Drosophila melanogaster: one gene and its partners. The protein of the gene in region 1 interacts with the protein of each later gene in a pairwise test. Each region holds a gene or a part of one and is shown on either strand. Other genes may lie near its edges.

Region 1 (3,833 bases):
CTGAAGCGCCTCATGCATCTTTACAGCGAAGAATCGAGTTCCGAAGCAGTAGCTCCGGAGCGCTCGTTCCTTAAGCTGGTGGATGGCGCATTGGATTGTTTGGCGCAGTTCACCTCGCACAGTGAGGAAAACACCGATACCTCCAACTGTCCAAAGACTCCCAAGGAAGTCCTTCCACTCAGCCAGAAGTTGCGCGCCAACATTGATTTGATCTTGGGTCAATCTCTGGGATTCGCCAATGTGGCTTTGTCTCAGGACAAGAGGGCTCTCAGTGCCTTGTGCCAAAAGGTGGGTGTACATCTTCTGCAGTATCCCCTTATTTATTCCCCTCATTTGTGCTCTAGGTCATCCGGGAGTGCAATGCCTTTCAGGAGGAGTGCAAGGAGTCATTCAGTGCCAACTACCTGTCCACCCTTAAGCTGCGGGCCATGACCATGGAACAGGCAATTTACCAATTGGAGGACTTTATCAACGATGCGCTTTTGCGCTTGGTATTCACATGCTTCCTGGACTTCGAGAAGTTTTCGGTAGACAAAATTAGAGCGCTGTTAAGGAACAGCCCAGATAATGATGATCTGGCCGATGAGTTCATAGCGGACTTTGATGTGAACATAGATCGCGCCACCCAGATAGGCATTTTTGCCATTTCCTTTGCGCCCAACTTGAAAAGTATAATAATTATATATAATTATAAAAAAAAACGCAATTAACTCCAGTACCAATTCCTTTTCAGTGAAAACCATAATGCGCAGCTGTCTGGCCTCCTTTGAATCACTGGACACCACTCTGATACCTTCACTGCAGGCCCATGGTTCCGATTTGCACTCGGACATCCTAGAGCAGCACTTTAACGAGGAGGTGGCCAAGTTCAAGGCAGCGCTTCAGGAGATCATCGACAGCCGCGCCCTCGTTGGTTGTTGCCTGGAGATACTGACCTCAGGGATAAGTGCAACGGAAAAGCTTTTCGATAAGCAGCGATTGGAGGACTTGGTTCAAATCTCTTTGCTGCTAGTCGAGCACTTTCAGCTGGAAGTCAACCGAAAGGGTCTAAGCGAAACGCAGGACCGATTGGGGGAAGAGTACTACCAGCAGTTCATCCGGGTACTGCGCGAGTGCAAGGCTATTTTGATGTGCGCATCCCAGGTGGAGCCGCAGAGAATCCTCAAGCGCTTCAAGATCTTGCGCACGATCTTGCGCAAATTGCACGGCTCCCTGGGAGCTGGTAAACAAGAGGAGGAACTTCCTATTCCCCTGGCTCCCCTTTTAGCTGATGATACCAAGGGGGTAAATGAAGACGAAACCCATTTCACTGGCTATAAAACAGCCCGAAGCGGCAGTATCCTCTACGACACAGAGCGTAGGAATAGAGTAACTAGACGAACGGACAACAAGCTACCCACAAATACCTTGGACATTAAATCGGATAAGGCAAAACCCCATGGAAATGTTCTGAGAAGTAAGTCGGCTGATGTTTAGATAAATTTGGTAAGGTTACCAATGTTTTGAATGCTATTTTCAGGAGAAAGTTTACGGACTGTCATGTTCAAGCGGCAGAATATAGCTGAAAGCAGAAAGCTATACACCTCCATGAGTAATCAGTCTACGGATCTACAAATCACAGGTACCTAAAATGATTACATTTCCTATTTTATAAGTTTTTCCATTAAATTTCGTATATTTTTAGATATACTCGACCAACTCACTGGAATGTCCAATGGATACTTTGAATGCTGAAGCATTTCAACCATTTGTACATAACTTTTTATTTAGTTTAGTGTTTAAGTTCATACCATTTAAGAGATTTTGCAATTCAAACTTAACGTACGTCGCCACCTGAATGTCATAGGTCAGGTCAGGCATACACACAAACATGTATGTTCCTCGGGTGGCGAAGAGTATCGCATCGGAAACAGTTTAGACTGTTGTAAAAGTAGAGCAATAGGTTCCAATAAATATATAGACACATAGCACACTTGTCAGCGCATCTCCCTCGGTCGATTGACCTTTCAATTGCACTGGACACCCTCGTTCAACCCAACATGTGAAGCTGTGTGGGCAATCCCTATCGATTTTCCACCACGAGCGGCAGCCAGGACTCGCAGTCAACAGATACACACGGTAATTGCTTGGTAAACAGTAAGCACTCGGCTATGAAATCTCTGGCCGGCGATAAATTTGCTCTGTCCGAAGAGATTGGGCCACCGCCTTGTTCTCCCAAACACCGAAAAGCAAGTGCCGTGAGTAGGGACACGGATACAAATAACCATCATGTGGTGCCGCTGGGGATCCTCGTGGTGCTCTGCACTGTGTATCTCATGGTAGCCGGGATGCAGCGCAACTACAGGCACTATTTTAAGCCGGGCGTGGCTGCCTTCGACCTGCACCATGCCCAGCCGGAAGCCATGGCCGACGCCGAATTGGATGTCGCCGCTCCAGATGCATCGTGCCAGAGGTTGGACGTTTTCGGAAAGGAATCCAATCGGAATCAGGCAGTTTCAAGAAGATCCCAAGGCAGGCCCACGAAGAGAACCAAAAACGGCACTGGAAATGGGGTCAGCAAGCAACCTCGTCGTTTGATAAAGTCCCCGGAGGGGCACAAGAAGAAGGAAGTTGGCAAGAAGAGTAACACAGCGGAGCCCATTATTTACCTGTTCGCCCTTGTGTTTGTCTATCTGCTTCTGAAGGCCGCCTCGGACATCAACCAGCACTACAAGTCGGTAAGGATAACCCGCATTCCATTCCCTATTGCCACGTGAATAATCCTTCTTCGGCAGCAGAACAAAGGGGACAAGCGACTGCGCCGGTGCTCGCTGCAATCTTATGCCCAGATCCACAAGCAGGATCGCCGGTCATCAAAAGGTATTTCACCAAAATCTTTGCCAAAGTTTTAGCTCGCTGGGGGCCAGGTGCCTAGCCTATTACACCGTGTTAACGAGGGATCAAGTGAATTGTTATCCTATAAATCTAAATGTATCTACCACTATGTACTGAACTAGCCAATCTTCTCTACTCTAAAGCACCAGTTTTCTGACTTTTTCGGAAAATGTATTGTTGTGTATTGTGTATCTCTCGTCTGTCCTCAATCTCTATACATCTATACATCTGTACATCGCACTTTTCGGGCTCGATTATGCGTTTGATATCTGTGTTTTTGAACGACCTCCACTGTTTACCTCCTCTTCACCTATCTGTGAAACTGTACTGAATCCGAATATAAGGTTGTACATACTCGAATGTATATTACTGTCCTAAGTGTACGTAATCCTAAAATAAATCAATTACTATGTGCTTTCCTGTGATCAATTTACATACGTAGCCGTGTTAGCTTGCGTTTCATTTCCTCCGTTCGATTGGGCTTTTACGCAATCCTCTGCGATCCTCTCTCACCCCGAATCCCAAACTGACCGCTCTACATTTCCCCAATGCATGCCAAAAGTGGATGAGTCCCCCATCTTCCGGCGCAAGCATATAATCAGCGAGGAGCGTTCCGTATCTGTGGATCGCTTCAAGTACACGCTAAACGATGAGGGAGGCTTCACCAGGTCCGTTCCGCTGGTTCAGGAGTATCACTACAGGGTGGTATCTCCTTTGGCCAGCCGACCCAGTCAGCAGCATCCGCATAAGCCGGGATCCGGAGAAGCCCGTTTCGGTAAAGAGTCCCCACAACAAAGTGACACGTCCCATAAGACCAACTACTTTCTTCTCTAGAGCCTCGTCTTAACCGTCGCTCCTCGGTTCCGATCAGCATTAACTATCAAACGGTGCACGTATCGAGTCCACATCCTCCGGAAATGGCCAGGCGCGGCTCGGTGATAAGCCTCACTGGGCCACCA
Region 2 (4,072 bases), on another chromosome or scaffold:
CTACCACCTCCTTTCACCTCCTCATCCTCCACGTTCTCGTTATTCGCTTCTTCTTCTTCTTCTGACTCACCTGAGAGAGTTCCGAATCATCGCGCAATTTGTCCGCCAAATCGGCGGCGGCGGCTGCGTTCGCGGCGCAGAGCAGCGCCAAAAGCAGCGCTGCAGCGTTCAGCATTTTAGCGGACGAGCAGCAGCAGCAACAACAACCACAACAGCACTTGTTTATGCGCTGGCAGTGTACGTCGTTTGTGAGTGTGGCTGTGTGTGCTGTTTTGCGGGGGGCGTGTGCTGGTGTGAGTGCTGCTCTACGATTAAGATCTGCAATTCAAAGGCAAACAACAGTTAGCCGACGACAAACAGCATTTCCTCGGAAAAGAAAATATTATTTCACAGATATATGCTTGGCATGCTTTTTGTCCTCCTTGGTATTTTCTTTGTTTTTGCAAGGTTATCGCTGCTTCCTGTTCGCTTTTGCCCAGAGTTCCGTTATGTCACATAGAACAACAAGCGAAAAACGGACCACCGAGGAATCGGCAAGCACAACACAAACGCAATTTAACTAGAAACAAAGCTGCGCTTATTGTGTATTATTTTTTCTTCATTCCGTCGCTGTGTGTTTAATTATTATGCGCCTTTGCATTTCGCTGCTGCGGCACTTTTTTCTGTTTTCGATTTTATAGTTTTCTCTCTGGTCTTTATTCTGCGTAATTCTCGGAAACTCGGGCTGCAGGAATTAACATTAACGGCCGCCGCAGAAATTATGCAATGTCCACGGACCAAACTTGGAAAACACACAAATTCTTTAAGTAGCACACACAAACGAACGCAGCGCGGTGGTAAATCAATAGCAAGGGCAGCGAAATGGGCCGTGCAGCTATTTTAGAGTTATGCCCTATGCACAGTATAGATTTTCCACAGAGTTTCAATATAAGGGGAGCAAGTACCAGTCGGAGGAATCGCAACGTGCGCCACGCTCGAACGTTTTTTTCGAATTAAAACGAAAAGCGGAGAACAGGTTTAAGCCGAGCGTGTGGTGACGATAACGAGTGTTATCGATAGCTGTCGATGTTTCAAATCGCAACACTGTGCACTGTTAATAAATCGCTTAACATTTATATTTATTTGTGCATGTCTTTGGCGGTGACTCTTATTTATGTGCTTTTTATGCTTTTCCGAATCTTGTTAGAGGTAAAATATTAGTACAAATCGAGCGCTGCGTTGCTCTTCTGTGTCAGATTTATAATAATGTCTGTTTATCCAATCTTATTATTATTACAAGAAGACTGCTTTAAATTTTCTCATTTTTCGTTTAAAAGCATAAATAATCATTTTAACCGTTTCGCAAAATGTGGCAACGACAGAATGCGGTGGATAACTCCGCTAAGCAGAGTCTCTACTGTTTGAAAGATTTTATTCCAAATTGAACCGGTTATAATTTTCAAGCACTTATTTTTTTACTTTTCTAAGGAGATAACATTGAATTTTAACAAGCAGTGTACCTATTTGGTTCTTCTTACTTTAAGTAAATGGTAAAAGTCTTCGATAAACCACGCCGTTACTAAGCAACTTGCCACCAGCAACGCTTGTTTGCTATTGAAATCAAATTAATATCATTATCAGTTTTGACAATACCATTGCAAAGACCGAATTCAGAAAGCCAATAACGATGACTGACCAAAGCGAGCTGGATCAGTTGGCAACTGCCGAGCTGCAGAGGCTGCAACGCCAGCATCGGGGTCTCCAGCTGGACCTTCGGGGTCTCCTCGAGGAGAAGGCCAAGCGCCTGAAGAAGCAGAATCACATGATCAACGTACTGCAAGTGGAGCACCAGAAGCTGAAGGAGGAGATCAAGACTCTAGAAGGTGGTACTCATGCGCGAAAGAACACCAATGTAGATATCCACTTAATGGACTAGTCAGCCACATATAAAAGGTTTACATCGGTTTCAGAGAGAGAAGCACCTGGGCACTTTGCAGGAACAGCAGGCGGATTTGCAGAGGGTGCTCCAGAATGAGCGAACCAATCTCTGGGAACTGGAGGGCCACATCCGGAAAATGGAAAAGGAGATTGATGCCCTGCGGCGCAACGAAGTGCCCGACAACTGCTACAAGGACACCATCTGCAAGGTGCAGAAGAGCGTGGTCAAGTTGGAGAACCGCCTGGATGTCGTCAACAAAAAATGCAGCGATGTGCTCACTGAAAACAGCAAGATGAGGGACGCCATAAACCACATGTTGCAGGATCGGTGAGCATTTCTCGCTAGATATATACAATCTATAAAATACACACTAGGTTTATGAAAAGTCAACTAGGTGCTCTCCATATTATTAGGTTTTTATACCGAATTGAGCTAATGCGTTTCGACTCCACTCCAGGGCAAACTTCAATGACATGTGGCAGTCGATGGTAACCCAGTTTAACGAGGGCAAGAAGTTCATCATGGATCTCATAGACCAGTCGACACTGGCTTTCGACCAGAGAGAAGAGCTGTGCAACAAGCTGACCGTCCTAAAGGATCGCAACGAGAACGACAAGGTAATGCACATCCAGGAGATGCGCGAGATGCAGCGCCGCCTGGAGCACGACGCCAAGTTGCAGAAGTTCTTCGACATCAAGGGACAAAAGCGCCTCAATCCGGAGCTGGAGCAGCGCGAGCTGGACAAGAAGCAGAGTCAGAAGGAGACCTACGAGAGGCAGCTTCTGGAGTACAAGGAGATCATCGAGAAGATCAAGTTGCTCTACGGCGAGGAGGACGCGGACCGACTGGTGGCCCAGTTCAAGCGTCAGGAGGACGAGAACTTTGCCCTTTTCAACTATGTAAACGAACTGAGTCACGAGGTTGAAGTACTCAACGATTCCACTCAGGAGCTCCAAGATGAAATAGGTGTGTTGTTGGATTCTGAATTAGGCTATAGACTAGTCTTTATACTAAAATTTGTACATAATAATCCAAACAGAGCGCCAGAAATCGGAGCAGACCGAGAAGGAGTTGAAGCTTAAGACCGAGGCACTTGACTATCTAAATGCCGAGAAGGAGCGGATCGAGCAGCTGGCGGAGGAGACCAGAGAAAGGAAGCGAACCCTGAGCATCAGATTAGAACAGCTTCTCAAGGGCATCGAGGATATATTCAGGTGCAATCTGCGAGTATATATCCTTACTATTGACTGTCTACCAAATTCCATTTTAATTTTAGACAATTGGCCTGTGACGATGCTCCTATCCTTAATGTGCTCAGTACCAAAACCTTTTTGACAGTTCACAATGTGAAGCTTTTCATTGGCGTCATTGAACGCCGGGTCAACCTGATCATCAGCGCCATCAATATCGAGGATAACTCCAACAAAATACTGGCCCGAAAGGATCGTGTTCCCAAATTCAACATACGGGAATCGGCGAAAACTAAAAACTAAGAATTAGTAGGCATTCATTTTTCTCCAAAATATTAAATGATAACCAAAGTATCTACACATACCGATAAAACTTATATCCTAATCTTATAAATATATGAAATACATGCTGCCGAAGTTTACAACAAGCTAGTTAAATGGAAATCCGATTGGACGATTCAAATTCGATCTTATTTGTTTAATTTAAACTGTCCGTTTATTGCTTAAACCTATAAACTACAGTCTATTCAATGAACACCCAAGGTTTTTAATAGTTCGAGTTCTGATTGAGGCCATTAGATTAAATAAATAACCTGACAAGCGTCCACAATAAGAAGCCAGCTATGACACAGAGTAGGGTCACAAAGCTGTAGTGCAGGATCTTCAATCTAATAATGTATATGAGATCATTTTATGCAAATATAGAACATCTTTCCACAAGAACATACCGATAAAAGAGTCGCCGACCCTGTTCAAGAGATTCCTGCGTTGGAGGTTCCTTGGTCAGGTAAAGTCGCATGCCGAAGAGGGCCTTCCGGAAGTACTCTTTCCAGTCCAAAGTCTCCATATCGAAGTTGTACAATCGCCGATCCTCCGGAGACATCATCACTCTCAGCCGATCCGTGCTTTTCGTCTCAAAGTGCCAACTGTTGTTCATAAAGTGCTCTAGTACCGCAATGTTGGC
Region 3 (7,546 bases), on another chromosome or scaffold:
CTGATGAAGATGCACGCCTTTGTGAGGTACAATGCTGAGCGCGTTCTGAATGGCAAGGCCAAGAAGGAAGATGCGGAGGAGGAGAAAGAAGGCAGTGAGCGACCCTTTGTGCCGCCGCTGAGCTGTTACACGTACTTTTTGTTTGCACCCACGCTTATCTACCGAGACAGCTACCCGCGCACCTCCCACATCCGCTGGAAGTTTGCCCTGAATCGACTGTTGGAGGTGGTGGCCATAGCCTTCCTGTACGCGTTCATCCATGAGCGGCACATCCACGAGCACTTCGGACAGTACGGACTGGAACCAATGGGACCCTCCCAGCTGATCCTCAAGCTGTTCGGCATGATGCTGCCCAGCGCGGTGATCTTTCTGTGCGGCTTCTACCTAATCCTGCACTCGTGGCTGAACTTCACGTCGGAGCTGCTACGCTTCGGTGATCGAATGTTCTACAAGGACTGGTGGACGTCGCACACTTACGATGGCTACTACAGAAACTGGAATGTCGTCGTGCACGACTGGCTGTACGAGTACGTGTACAAGGATATGTACACTCATGTGTTCCGAGGTTCCAAGGTGGCCGCCTCGCTGGCAGTGTTCATGATCTCCGCTGTGGTCCATGAGCAGGTTCTCGGCTTTGCCCTGCAAATGTTCTTCCCAGTGATGTTCTTCTTCTTTGGGGTCGTGGGTGTTGCCTTGGTATTCCTAATGCGGAGTGCTCCAAAAGTGATGGGCAACATCTTTCTGTGGTTCTCTCTGATCCTGGGAAATGCCACGCTGATCTCACTATACGCCATGGAGCATTACGCCCTAAAGAACTGCAACCTAAGCAACGAGAGTTGGACGTATCGCCTGCTGCCGGCGGTATGGCGCTGCTACAATTAGTCAATTAGTTAAACACTACTTTTAAACTGTCTGTACACAGGGCGTACGCTTCGATTTGTATTTTAGGTAAATAAACTTAATGAAATTAACAGAAACGATGTCTTCAGTTCGTTTCGTGTCTTTGAACTTCCCAGCTGAACCCTAAAGCTATGGTTTCTTATTTTACATCAGGCTGCCTGATGCTAACTTATGAAATACTACGTGAGCATTGACGAGTGCGTCCTTGGAAGAGCATTCCTCGGCGGCATGGCATCCTCCGCCTAACCGCAGAGATTCGCGATGGCCTGAGCCGCATTAGCGGCTGCCACCTGTGGAGCGTCCTCTGCCGGAATGCGTTTGCGTCGGAATAGAATCACATGCGGCTCCGGCGCGTGGACCATGTAGTGCACCCAGCCGGGGCTCTGCTGCACGCCCAGGTTGCGCCACTCCGTCTCGGTCATCAGATGAGCCTTCGGCACATGTTTGGCCAAATCCGGTGGCAAGATAACATGCCTGCAGGGAGGGAAAGTGGTTTGTGTGTAAACAAACAGTTCACGGATGCTGAAACGCAAGTTGAACGTACCTGTATTCAAAGTTGTCGTCGAAGTACTTCTCTGAGTATTGAATTTGATCGGCCGGCATTGCGAAAAGCCAGAAAACCTGAGGTAAATTAAGCAATTTTACCAAAATAGGTCAATAAATTCAGATAGATATGCCACAACTGATTCGATTCTAAATACTATTGTTATCGCTGCACGTATCGAACATAAAGTTATCGATTTGGTTATCAGCTGTCCAGTTAACAGCACCTTTGGCGGTAAACTCAAATGTACTGTTTTTAATGGCACGATCTTAGCGGGCTTTAATATATTGAACATAAACTTTTTTCTGTATAACAATATTTTTGCAATGTTTAAAGCCATTTTAAAGCCATTTTGTTAAAAAAACGAGTACTTTGTAAAAAGATGCTGTTAGAAAATGTTAACATATTTAGCGAATGAAAAACTCAATTGGATAATATGTGATTTCCAGTGTGACCGGAACTCGCAGGCTCGCACATTTTCCAAATGCAATCGGCAATTTCTCCGTTACTCGCCCATGGCCACATTTGTGCATGTGCGTTTGAGGTTCCTTTCCTTTTTATATAAGCCCCTCGTCTCTTGCCAACAAACCAACAACAACAACAACCAGCCAGGCCAGCGGGCAACAACAACGCACAACAACGCGTATAAATAAACGTGAACGCATGTACTTAATATTAGCATAGAGTTGTCGCCTGCGTGCATTTCATATACATAACATAACATCCACTTACTCCCATGACAACGGGACTTTAGACAGTAACGGTGGAGCAGCTAGAAGAAGAGGAAAGGCGAAGTAGAACGGGAACAAGAAGAAAAAGCAGTGGAAGAGGTGAGGACGATACGTAAATACAGTCAAACTTCCATAAGTAGATACGACTTTACTACTACAATAAAAAGTGTCCTTTAGTGATGAAGAAAATGGGTTCTAAGAACCTAAAACCTTTATGTATATGTACTCCCTATTGTCGCTTAATGAATTTACCGTTACGGTATGCTAGTAAATAAATGCATACAATGTACATATGTAGATACATAGGCACAGCAAAACCACCTATAAATTCGATTGATTTTATGAAGTTCTAGTTGAGGAAGTTTGACTGTATGTATGCGCGCATTGGTAAATACGAGCAGACCGCAATTAGCAAATATTTTTCAGTCCAGCAGGTATCACTCACCACGTACCGCCCAAAGGTCCCAATGCTGGCGTAGAGAAGCCGAAACACCTGCTGCTGCCAGTGGAAAAGCGGGAGGAGCTGCTCCAAACTGCCCAGGTGACATCCAATCATTTAGAGGCGACGCACCTGCCGCCTTGAGGAACTGGTCGCCACGCAGGAGGACACGGATACGGCAACGGTTACGGACTCGTTTCCGCAGTAGCGGGCACCATGAACGCCAGCCTCATCTATGAGATACTTATGTATCTGAACTCGTTCTACTTTGGCATGTACGCCGCCTTCGAAGTGGGCGTGGGCGTTCTTAAGGCGATTAATCTAAACTACGGCGAGAACGCGTTGTCCCGGGAGGCCAGCATCCTGCTCTCACTGTGCATCATCGAGACCGTGCGCATTGTCTTCGGGCGGAAGAGCAGTCTAAGCGATCGTGGTGAGTAATCCCCATGATCCCCATGTTACTGCAAGGGTGGGAAAAGTCCACCGGCAGCGATGATGACATGGCGAAATTATTTGTTTGCCCGGTCACAATGCCCATTTCATGCCATCCCCCTACCTCCGGGGCCATAACCCATAAACGTTTGGACGGGCATACATACATATATGTATGATGTAGCCCACTCGGCGTATGCGTAATTATGGTCATCACCCCGGATGAAAACACGCGTTTTATGGTGGCAGGGGAAAGGCGCCCTTCTGGCACATTAAGCAATATGCAAAGGAAATCTATCAAAGCGAATCATCGAAATGAGTTATTGGAAAAGCAATTGGAGCTGTTAATATTAATTATCGCAATGTGTAAACATGAAATTATTAGTATAATACTTTAAAACACTGAATCACTTTCAATCGAATACACTTAATTATAAACAAGTAGACGAACTATACGATTTTCCGTGCATCTGTAGCTAACATTTTCCTTGTTTTTCTCTCTTTGCAGGCTGGCAAGCAACCGCATCCGTAATATTAACACTGCCCAGTCTTGCTATTGTTATCTACTTGTGTTGTTTTCAAACCTTTGTTCTCAAACTCGAAATTATTCTGAGTGCCTTAATGATCACCCTACAAGGTGCTGAACTAGTCTACGCCAGCATATTCATTTGTACAATGTGTCGCCCCGTCACATACACCTAGCAGTTGATAAGCCGCGTTGCCGCCGCCACGTCAACGACCAAGATCGAGATCAAGACCAAGCCAGCACTAACACTCCCACCTGGAGGAGAAGGAGTAGAAGCATCCACAGCCGAGCGACGACTACGACGAAGACGAAACACTTTCCTCTGGCAATTTCACATCAAACGATTCGCCAAGGCCTCAAAACTAAGCCACTTAAATGCACACTAAGCCACCGCACATAAAAACAAAACAAAAAATCTAGATCCTACTAGACCTCCTAGGAATCCGTGCCAAGACAACCCGATAACATACCCAATGGCTGGCAGTTGAGGAGGACTTTCAACAAGGTACGTGAACCTTTATAAACTTATATAATCCGCACAGATCATTCGCGCCCGCGGAAATCACATCGCAGCGAAACACGACGCGTCCGATTCTATCAAAAGCAAAGCTGCATTTAATTTGCATTTCTTGGTTGCATTCTTTTGCCCGGCCTTTGTGGCGTTGCCTCCCTGCTGGCGCAGTTGCTCCTCGGACCCGCTCGGTTCTGGTATTTTTATACGGCTCTGATGGTCTAAAATTATATGCGAACTGCACGGCTCGTGCAACACCGCTGCTGTCCCCTAGGTGCAATGTACACTTCTAATTTGAATGTAATATACACGGCCCACTGCGGGCAAGTTAGCCTGACTGTAATGGCCAAGATGAGAGGGCTCTCCGTTTGGTCTTTGGTCTAGTGAACATGCCCTGTACGATTCACAGGAGAGAGATTCACGGGACTTTAGCGAGGCATAACGCTTTGAGTTTTTAAAAATAATTAAAATTCCAACAATGGTTTTCATATATTCACCCTAAACCTATCCTGAATTTCAAGGTAACCATTTAATGGCCCTGGGCCCTGTAGAGCATAACGCCCAGGGAGTTTTTAGTAGTTTTTTCCCCCCAACTAGCCGCCAGTGAAATCATTCTCCCCCACATTTCTAGGCAGGCGATCTGCCGGCCAATGCTGACCCAAACAGCGAGCAGAGAAAACAAATAAAAGGCGACAACGACCAGCAGCACATTATTCAAATAAACAGCACATTTCGCAGCGACAAACCGTGAGACCGCCGATGTCGATGCCGCTGCCGCTGCATTGGCCAAGCACGGCAGGTTCGCGTTATTATTATGGTCAGTCTATAAATACAGTGCCCAACGTGAGCAACGCCGCCGTGTGAGCGATCCGGGAGATCAAATCGGTCCAATTTGCCGTAGACATCGAGGGGTAACAGGAGAAGCAGCAGAAGGAGGTGCTAAGCCGGCAGAAAGATGCCGCCCAAGCGTCCGCCACCGCTCGTGCCGAAGAAGCCAAATCCCAGCATGAACTACGAGGTGTTGATCTACCTCAACTCGTTCTACTTTGGCATGTTCGCCTGTTGCGAGATGGCCATGGGCCTCCTGAAGGCCATCAATCTCAGCTACACGGGACATACTCTAGCCCTGGACACGGGGGTGATGATTAGCTTCATTGTCTTTGAGACGATCCGATTGATAATGGGGCGCATGAGTTCGCTGGCCGATCGAGGTAGAAGCTCCCGCCTGCTGGCTGGTCTAATTATAGGATATTCTAAAACAATAGAATCATCCTCAATGGCGTTATCAATCGTTTAATCAAACCAAACCATTAGACTTAAGAAATACTAATTAACTCATTATCATCCTTATTTATAATTGTAATAGAATAGTATCTATGGCTTTTACAATCAGATTCTAATGAACTCTTCTGCTTTTCTATCACAGGCTGGTCGGCCATACTGTCGGTCTTCATGACCGCCCCCTGCTTTGTGGGCGTCTCCTATCTACTGCTGCTCCAGACCTACCGACTGCGCCTGGAGTACTGCCTGTGCACGCTGCAGATCGCCCTTTACCTGACCGAGGTGTGGTATGCCATCGTCTTCGTTTTCTCGCTGTGTCGTCCAGTAACTTATGATTAGCCATATAGACAGAAACATCCAACAGCCAACTAGCAGCAAATATACATGCGAAAGTTTAGCAATCTATAAGATCGAAAAAGGATAATATGCGGTGTAAGGAAATTTAATGAATTTGAAAAGCAGTAGGCAGCTGAATTGCTCATGGCCGTGGAGAAGAGAAACCAAACAGAAAGAAAAAAAAAACAAAACAAAACACATATGTAGCATATTAATAATTATGTATAGTAAGGTTTATGATAACATACACACACTCTTATATACATATATTTAACGGTTTTATATACAAAAATTGTTAACATTTAAGCATCAATTGGAACCAATATAAGACAACAAGCAAAACCTAAAACTTGAATAATTTTCACAATTTTAAGATGAAAATTTTTTTGTAAAAAGAAAAATATCGAAAAACAGCCGAAAAACAAATTTGATGTGTGGAAATAATAATTTATAATAGTTCACAGATAGCTCGAATCTTAAAAAGAATTGTAAAAAAATCAGTGGAATGTCTCACAAAATCTAGTCAGCATCAAAATCATGAAAAACAAATGGCCGAAAGGCCATTAAAAAAATTCATTACCACTAAGAGTCAGCGTTTAGTAGTTCATACCAATATTCAAAAGGCGGAGAACAACATAATTAAGCCCAGTTAAAAGTCTAGACCATGTGTGTACTTTAATGAAACTACTTTATATAAACCTAGCAAATAGCGTAAATAACATTTTCAAGACGTCACTAAAAACAATGCAAACCCGAGCGGGCAACCGTTTACTAGAAAGCGAACAACAAATTAGCTAAATCATATAAAACATTTATAGAGTGTTAAAAACTAGGCGAAAACCCTCCATTACACTTCTCCCCAATTCAGCCTATTGGCAACTCGAAACGCCCTTTAAATCACGCTCAATTATCCCCGCCTGATAGGATCCGAGGATTGCAGCTCCTCCAATGCTAGTCACTAATGTTCACAAACATTTTCTAAGCTAGACCGAAGATTGTGTAATAATTTGATAAGACCTTTGTGTGGTTTCATAGCAAAATAACGCACAAATCGATAACAAAAACTCTCAACAGTCCACAAATCTCATGCTTTTAAAACAAAAGAAATAATTTTACTGAAACCAAACAGCTGGAAGCTAGAAGCTGAAAGAAAACCAAAGCCACATCCTACGTTGAATAATTTACCTGTATAATATTTATGTCATTTCGTTAAACGCAAAATGTTAACATACTTTTAAAGCGCGTGTAAAACGGATAGTTAATAAAATAACGACAACAATATTTAAAAGAACATATACACTCGATGAAAATGAATATTAAAGATCGAAAAAAAGAAAAAGGAATCTGTTATTAGTAGGCCGTGGGTTCAATAAGATCTTTTCGAGTATGATAGGTGTATTTCGTTTTGTGCCTCCAAAATTTCAGATATTATTCAGCTACACACAGACAGGCCTCCCAAATTTGTAAGCTCTGTAAATTCAAAACCAGAACTGCTGCAGGCCAGTGGCGAAGTTAATTTGTCAGAGGAAAACTCAAGCCATCTCCATGGATAAAAACCACAAGTCGGGTGAGTCAAGCCGAGTGTGGCATCCTTAAGTTGTTAAAACTATGTGTGTTCTTTGCTCCAGAAGAGGGGTTTGGACGTTCAATGTCTAGTAGCAGTCGCCGCGTCATGTGGAAGCTCAACGAGGAGGAGGAGACATTCGACTCCTTGGTCAATTATCGGCGGCTTCCTTCGCGCAGCCTAAACCGAAGTCAGGTGACCGATGTGCCCACCAAGGGACACACTACCTCCGAAAATTGCCAGCTGCCAGCGCAAGAGTTGGAAACAAAGAGCGCCACCAAC

The links. Proteins that work in one complex are often made in the same cells at the same time.
Region 2: the proteins of CG8248 (region 1) and Ccdc114 interact in a two-hybrid assay, tested with the Drosophila melanogaster proteins (one large-scale study listed by BioGRID).
Region 3: the proteins of CG8248 (region 1) and TMEM216 interact in a two-hybrid assay, tested with the Drosophila melanogaster proteins (one large-scale study listed by BioGRID).

What each region holds. Positions count from the first base shown.
Region 1 is NT_033778.4:8,918,408-8,922,240, reverse strand, and holds CG8248 (uncharacterized protein), read left to right. Parts: upstream 1-1,872; 5' UTR 1,873-2,150; coding exon 2,151-2,717; intron 2,718-2,774; coding exon 2,775-2,891; 3' UTR 2,892-3,301; downstream 3,302-3,833. Other genes in the region: Spt (spitting image), read left to right, coding at 1-288, 345-669, 734-1,456, 1,520-1,621, 1,685-1,734; CG34219 (uncharacterized protein), read left to right, coding at 3,427-3,649, 3,709-3,833.
Region 2 is NT_033777.3:16,622,215-16,626,286, reverse strand, and holds Ccdc114 (Coiled-coil domain containing protein 114), read left to right. Parts: upstream 1-1,569; 5' UTR 1,570-1,666; coding exon 1,667-1,891; intron 1,892-1,949; coding exon 1,950-2,245; intron 2,246-2,375; coding exon 2,376-2,884; intron 2,885-2,957; coding exon 2,958-3,132; intron 3,133-3,194; coding exon 3,195-3,411; 3' UTR 3,412-3,552; downstream 3,553-4,072. Other genes in the region: Fas1 (fasciclin 1), read right to left, coding at 71-175; CG14893 (uncharacterized protein), read right to left, coding at 3,689-3,776, 3,837-4,072.
Region 3 is NT_033777.3:8,714,295-8,721,840, forward strand, and holds TMEM216 (transmembrane protein 216), read left to right. Parts: upstream 1-1,948; 5' UTR 1,949-2,274; intron 2,275-2,601; 5' UTR 2,602-2,830; coding exon 2,831-3,047; intron 3,048-3,554; coding exon 3,555-3,748; 3' UTR 3,749-4,077; exon of another isoform or gene 4,078-4,162; intron 4,163-4,903; exon of another isoform or gene 4,904-5,038; coding exon of another isoform or gene 5,039-5,294; intron 5,295-5,509; coding exon of another isoform or gene 5,510-5,703; 3' UTR 5,704-7,026; downstream 7,027-7,546. Other genes in the region: CG8112 (uncharacterized protein), read left to right, coding at 1-882; Cks85A (Cyclin-dependent kinase subunit 85A), read right to left, coding at 1,143-1,374, 1,445-1,503; CG11760 (uncharacterized protein), read left to right, coding at 5,039-5,294, 5,510-5,703; CG8136 (uncharacterized protein), read left to right, coding at 7,246-7,267, 7,329-7,546.